Linked DNA regions of Oryctolagus cuniculus. The protein of the gene in region 2 interacts with the protein of the main gene of each other region in a pairwise test. Links are inferred from orthologs where the notes say so. Each region holds a gene or a part of one and is shown on either strand. Other genes may lie near its edges. The genes, in order: E2F6 and TFDP1.

What was found.
Region 1: the proteins of TFDP1 (region 2) and E2F6 interact in binary tests that used the Homo sapiens proteins (3 or more experiments, as listed by UniProt). The link is inferred for Oryctolagus cuniculus from reciprocal best matches to the Homo sapiens genes TFDP1 and E2F6.

What each region holds. Positions count from the first base shown.
Region 1 is NC_091433.1:191,250,082-191,253,890, reverse strand, and holds part of E2F6 (transcription factor E2F6), read right to left. Parts: intron 2,522-3,809; coding exon 2,305-2,521; intron 458-2,304; coding exon 302-457; intron 1-301. UniProt on the Homo sapiens protein: Inhibitor of E2F-dependent transcription. Binds DNA cooperatively with DP proteins through the E2 recognition site, 5'-TTTC[CG]CGC-3'. Has a preference for the 5'-TTTCCCGC-3' E2F recognition site.
Region 2 is NC_091440.1:466,146-469,462, forward strand, and holds the end of TFDP1 (transcription factor Dp-1), read right to left. Parts: intron 2,038-3,317; coding exon 1,890-2,037; 3' UTR 806-1,889; downstream 1-805. UniProt on the Homo sapiens protein: Can stimulate E2F-dependent transcription.

The DNA.
Region 1 (3,809 bases), on a different chromosome or scaffold from region 2:
ATTGCGGCCATCTGAGGAGTGAACCAGCGGATGGAAGACTTCTTTGTCTCCCCCTCTCTGTCTGTAACTCTCTCCGATGAATAAATCCGGGGTGTGCGATGCTGGTGTCTTCACTGCTGGGCTAAATGACCACTGCCCCAGCACTAACTTTTAGTTTCATTTTTCCATAAACTTCTGACACCCCCTTGTACTATCACGCTTTTACTTATGGTCACTTTTGAAGACCTAATTTTGTATCTTAACTGTACGAGTTAAATCCCAGAGCGGCCCTACTGTACACAGGCACAGACGTGAAGGATATCTCTCGTTCTCCTTGTCGTCCGTCAGCTCAAACAGCTGCTGGGCGCAGTCCTTAATCAGCTCGTCCAACGCCTCCTCCATCGCCGACAGGTCGGAGAGCTCCTCCTGCAGCTTCTTCTGCTGGGGCACTGCTCCCAGATGGTGAAGGTCAGACCCTCTGAGAGACAGAAGGACCCTCACCCGCCTGGACCTCGGGCCCCCCAGTCAGCGACGGGACCCTCACTGCCGCCTGGACCTCGGGCCCCCCAGTCAGCGACGGGACCCTCACTGCCGCCTGCACCTCGGGCCCCCAGTCAGCGACAGGACCCTCACTGCCGCCTGGACGACGGGCACCCTGAGTGAGCGACAGGACCTGCTCGAGACGCGTTAGCTCTTCCCATGACGGAACCCGGGGACCGACTCAGCTCCCACCCTGGGTCCCAGACACACGGTGTTCTGCCTAGAAACTGGCCTGCATCCCACTTAGAGGCCTCATCTCAGCCAGGCCCTTTCCAAAGCTCATGCTGTAACTCCGCGGCGTCAATACTCGGCCAGGTTCTGTACTGAGGAGTCACGGCAGCCAGTGTAGCCCCAGCTCTGCCACACACAGCGTGGTGGGGCTCACCACTTCTCCCCAGGGGAACCACGCGAGCCGCTGGTGGCAGCTCCCCGCTGCAGTTCTGCCGTTCCCGACTGGTCACACGGATACCCAGGTGTCAGTGTGGACTCCAGGGTACGAGGAACAACTGACAGTCACTTCCCCCTTCGGTCTTCATGGAAAATAAACAGGGGAGACTGCTACCTGCTACCTTACCTTTCACTCTTCTTGCTTGCTGGTGTCCAAGTGTGATCCTAAGTCACGATCTGTTTTCTGATCTACTAAAGGCACCTCCTTTATGAAGCCCTCTCCTCCAATAGTTGAGCTCCGCGCATAAGAGCCGCTTTGTGAGCTCTGTTCAGACTCTGCAGCTGCCTGGACGGTCTGCACGGACGCCGCCCTGGGACTCTTCATCCCGATCCAGAACACCTGCCCGTCCCGAGCCCATAGCTCCTGCACATCACACACGCCCTTCTCTGCACGTCTAGCCGGGGTCTTGCTTCCACAGGCCCTTCCTAACTACATCGAGCGCTGAGCAGTTGCCTTCAGACTTCGAGTCTCCCTCCCTGCACTCAGGGCAGTGCACCCCAGGGCGAGAGGTGCTGCCCACCGCATCAGGCTCCTGGGGTAATACTGAGAATGCGCACTGCCGTCCACCCCAGCCAGAACCATCGAATCACCACTCACGCTGCCCGGTGAGAGCCGGTATCAGTGACTGACGGGAATGAAATGTTTTTACATCTCCTATAAACATCAGTTGTCTCTCGTGACCATGGAAAGCCAAAAACTGCAAACTAATATTGTTCCGTGTAATTTCTCACTAACACTGGAATGACACTGTGTCTGTGGCTCTTTTTAAGTCCCACATAGTAAAAAACAAAAACAAATAATGTGCTTTGTGGACAATGCAAGAAGTTCTTATGGACTGCTTTTCTAGTTAGAATCCTCTCTGACTCTGTTTTGTTGTCAAAACATCACTACTGGGCCGGCGCCGCGGCTCACTAGGCTAATCCTCCGCCTAGCGGCGCCGGCACACCGGGTTCTAGTCCCGGTCCGGGCGCCGGATTCTGTCCCGGTTGCCCCTCTTCCAGGCCAGCTCTCTGCCGTGGCCAGGGAGTGCAGTGGAGGATGGCCCAGGTGCTTGGGCCCTGCACCCCATGGGAGACCAGGAAAAGCACCTGGCTCCTGGCTCCTGCCATCGGATCAGCGCGGTGCGCCGGCTGCGGCGGCCATTGGAGGGTGAACCAACGGCAAAGGAAGACCTTTCTCTCTGTCTCTCTCTCTCACTGTCCACTCTGCCTGTCAAAAAAACAAACAAACAAACAAACAAAAAAACCATCACTACTATCTAGTGTGGTGTAAATATGGAATTGTCATGTGAGGAGAAAGGGAAAAAAGTACCCATGCAAAGTCTGAAACCAACTCACATCCAGCGAATGTGGTTCTTGGACTTTTTCTCCACCAGGTCGATTCCGTCGAGCACGTTGGTGATGTCGTACACTCTCCGTTTCCGCACCCCCAGTTTGGTTGCAACCTTGTTTAAGTCAAGAATACCCCCAGGCGCAGATCTGACAAGATCCATAAATTTTCTAGTTAAATAAACCAGTGATACATCAAAACGAGGTCTCTTCACTTTTAGAGCTTCTGGGAAACAAAATAAACACACGTGTGAAACTTTCAGTACCCTCCGGAGTCTGTTTCCTCGTGGTCAGAGGCAGACTTCTACAGCAGCCTCACACCCATCTCACACACAGGTCACAACCCATTTCTACGGAATTTCCCAAACTGGATGAAAAACGTACTGGCCACGCCAGGTCTAAATAAAGGTTTTACACTCAATAGATGCATAAATACGCAGCCGGTTCCCACTGTGAGCACGGATTTTTCAGGAGTTCCTGCATTCTATAGGACAGAGGACTGAGTTTGTATCTGCACCACTCTCAGGAATAGTTCGCAATGATTTCTGAAAATAAGTCTCTTGTTTTGTCCTGAAGTTAAAGAATTCTTTAGAAAGCAGGACCTGCCATCCGTGTCACAGGACATTCTTGTCCGATGACTTTGTTTGCAAGGCAGGGCAACACAGAGGCAGAGGCAGGGGCAGGGGCAGGGGCAGGGGCAGGGGCAGGGGCAGAGGCAGATCTTCCACCCACTCCCCAAATGCTTACAACGGCCAGGGCTGGGCCAGGGCTGGGCCAGGCGGATGCCAGGAGCCAGAACTCCGTACAGATCTGCCACACGGTAGCAGGGACCCAAAGAACTGAGCCACCACCTACAGCCTGGAGCTCTGGTGGAATGACGCCATGCCCCCACTTCTGCGTCGGCATGATGGCTGGGGCTGGGGTGAGGAACTCGGAGCGGGGCTGGTGGCTTCCTTAGGAGGCGCCGCCACATCTCTGGTTGTCAGGTGAGCCTAGACTGGACTCTGTGGTCTAGCTCAGCAGCCAAAGCTGGCAGACTGATACTGAACCTGACTATAACCAAGTCACTTAACCGCTCTGGCCCCAGGTCACTCGTGTAAAACAGGATTAAAACCACACCACTACCCCTCAGGGGCTGTGCAAATCTGTGCAAAGAGCCTCACACAGCGCCAGGCACTGCAGGAGCTCATCGAGGAGCTGGGGGTGGGCCGACGAAGGAGACACCTCAAGGTACAGGTGACCAAAGCAGGCGGCCAGCTGCGGCTGGGACCGTGCCGGGGCTGGGGAAGGGCTGAAACGTGGGCCTCTGTACACCACCTGCTGAGATCAGAGTGGATTCAGAGGGGCCCTGGGCGAGGCCATCTACAGCAGAGACTTGCAGAAGTACAGGGACGCGCCACCCTCAACCCTCACCCACGGCAGGGGTGGAGGGGAAAAAGGGAAGGGGAGGGAGGGAAGCCAGGAGGGCCCGGGACTGCCCCAAGCTCTCCGGCACGCAACTCCAGCAAGAATGC
Region 2 (3,317 bases):
CTTCTGTCATTTCAAGACGCAGTGTCTTCCACAGGCTTGGAGGTCCCGAGGGGTGGGAGTCCCTGAGCTAGCCCTCCTGGGAGCTCCTCTGCTTGCTGGGGGCTGGCATCCATGTCTCCCCTCTTCCAGTGCTGCTCTCTCCCTGGGGCGTGCTGTGCCCCTCCCTCTACTCAGTTCTCCTCCCCTCCCCCCAGGTTGCTCAGGCCCAGGCACCGGGCTGCCTGTCTCCATCTGGTCAGCTCCAGGATCTCAGCTGGCTGTGACTGTGCTGAGGCCGCACGGAGGTGCAGGCCACCCTCTGGATTTCCCTGCATGCACAGCTGAGTGTCTTGGTCTCCAGAGGGGGTAAGTGCAGGGGCGGGGGCTTCAGACACAGTGGCAGGGCTTGTCTCCTCGCTACTGACCAGAGCACAGGCCTGCCCTGGCTCCACACTGTGTGCACCCGTGTGCACCCATGTACCCATGTGCGGGCTGTGCCAGCACAGCAGGCAGCTGCCTGCCAGGGCTGGGCGGGGGCTGCCGCTGAGCGAGGAGCCAAAGCTGAACCAGAAGTGACGGCCCTGAAGTCGCGGCCTCTCCAGAGCCCCAGAGCAGCGAGGAGGCGGAGCCGCGCCCCACCACCTGGTGCTTCCTGCTCCGACTCCTTTCCAGAACCTTCCATGCTGTCATTCCTTTCTGAAGGGGAAACCTGTGGAATTCGTCTCGACCTTTAGGGCTGAGGAAGAGGCCAGGGAGCGCACGTGCTGTGAGCCGCAGGGTGGGGGGAGGGGCCCTGGCCGGGAAAGTGAGATGGAGCACACAGAGCTCGTTGAAAATGCCCATGCGCGTTTTATTAATAAAAACTAACAGTGCCGAGTTAAACAAGTCAAACAATTAAAGTCTCTTTATATTCCATAAAATATTACAGAAAAGTCTATTTGTGTTTCAATAAAAAGACTATCGTTTCAGAACAGGCAGCTGACAGCAACTGAGCAGTTAATGTTTCTGTGAATAAATCTTAAAAGACACTACTGCCTGTCCTTAATTTCCTTTTCTCTTTATAAAAAAAGAACTATTAAAAATGATTGACAAATTTTGAGTTAAAAAACTGTTAAAACATTCTCTATGTTTAATTTCAACTTTATAATAGATTACGGAAGATGCTCAGGAAACAAATCCCACATTTGTTTCGGTACGTGTCTTTAAATGACAGACTCATAGGTATGTAAACAACTATTTAATAAAAAGTTTCCAAACGCAGCCTGTAAGAAATCAGGCAAATTTTACCATAAGCAACAAACCTTCCAGAGTTTCCGCAGCCGCCCCAGCGGGCAGTAAACGTTGCCCAGCAGACCAAAACGACAAACAAAAAGAAAGAGGACTTTGCAATTTGTTGCTGCAATAGAGAGAGAGAGAGAGAGAGACGTCAGCTTGATGGAGTCACACCAGTCAGTATAATTTACGGAGCACACAGTCACGGCAGGACGCATGGCGCTGAGTGTTCGCTTCCGTCTTTGGACATCGCATGATTCACAAGAGGAAAACGCATCCTGCATCCGCCCCCCGCCAGCCCGACGCAGGGCGCCACACGCCGCCGGCGCCCGCGGCCACGGCAGGAGAGCGTCTTATTTTCATTGATGTGGATGAAGTAAGATATCTTCAGCAAACTCAGCGAGAGCTGTGAAGGGGCAAAAACGGACTCTGAACTTTAAAAAGAGCTAGAAACGGAAAGCAGACGCCTGCAAAGCGAGCAGTGCCCTGGCGGCGGCCTGGGGCCTGCGGGGCCCTCTCGCAGCTCACCAGCATCTTCTTGGGGGAAGGCCAGAAAGAAACAGAAAACCCCACGCTTAAAAAAAGTCTCTTCCCTCGCCGGCTCCTGAAGCCGGATCTGCGGGGAAGGGGCCGGGACGTCAGTCCTCCTCGTCATTGTCGTTGAAGTCGTCGTCGTCCTCGTCGTCCTCCCCAACGTAGGACACGGGCGTCTCCACCCTGGAGCCGCTGTACTGAGACCCGTTGGAGCTCGTGGCCAGCATGCCGTCGGCACCGTTGGTCAAGTCGCTGCAGGGACAGGAGGCAGACGAGCGTCAGGCACGGCCTCCACCCAGCCTGGCCTCAGCCTCAAGGGGAGATCGAGTCCCACAACATGGAACCCAGCCCTGCAGCCCCCGGGCCCCCACCAGCCCCGTCCTCCTGAAGCGGCTGTGCATGGCTCAGGTCAGGCCCCAGGTGAGAGAGAAGCCACACATGCACAGGCTCAAAGACGGCAGCCACGGCAGGTCAGGATGCCCGGGTGAGGGGCAAGACCACCACCTGGCAACAGGGGTAGCACCCCCAAAACCTGCCACAGCCCAGAGCTGCCAATGTGACCGACTGAAGACGTTTCTCCAAGGGTCGAAGTCAGGACAAAGCAGTTAAGCTGCCCCGCTCCCCCACCACGTCCAGACCGCATAGCGGAGTGCCTGGGGCTGACTGAGTCCTCCCCGGCCACGTGCAGACCACATAGCGGGGTGCCTGGGGCTGACTGAGTCCTCCCTGGCCACGTCCAGACCGCATAGCGGGGTGCCTGGGGCTGACTGAGTCCTCCCTGGCCACGTCCAGTCCGCATAGCAGAGTGCCTGGGGCTGACTGAGTCCTCCCTGTCCGCATAGCGGAGTGCCTGGGGCTGAGTCCTCCCGCGCCATGTCCAGTCCACATAGCGGATATAGTGGAGTGCCTGGGGCTGACTGAGTCCTCCCCGGCCACGTGCAGACTGCATAGTGGGGTGCCTGGGGCTGACTGAGCCCTCCCGCACCACATCCAGTCCGCATAGCAGAGTGCCTGGGGCTGACTGAGCCCTCCCGCACCACGTCCAAACCGCATAGCAGAGTGCCTGGGGCTGACTGAGTCCTCCCCAGCCACGTCCAGTCCGCATAGCGGAGTGCCTGGGGCTGACTGAGTCCCGCCTCTGCTTCTGATCCTGCTCCCTCTGATACACCTGGGGGGCAGCAGCTGACACCTCAAGTGCTTGGGCTCCTGCCACCCACACTGGAGACCTGGATGGAGATTCCTGGCTCCTGGCTCTGGCCTGGCATTTGGGGAGTGAACCAGTGGATGGGAGACTCCTCTGTCACCCTTTCAAATAAATAAATAAATAACTGTAAAACACAAGCGAAAGACTCCACACAGGCAGGGCAGCATTAGGTCTGGTGGTTAAGCCCCGGCTGGCCAGGCCCTTCACGCCCCAGACAGTGACGGGCGGAGTCCCAGCTCCCACTCCTGATTGCAGCTTCCTGCCAGTGTGCACCTGGGGGGCAGAAAGAAGGTGGCCATGGAAGACGCAGACTGAGCGCACGGTGCCC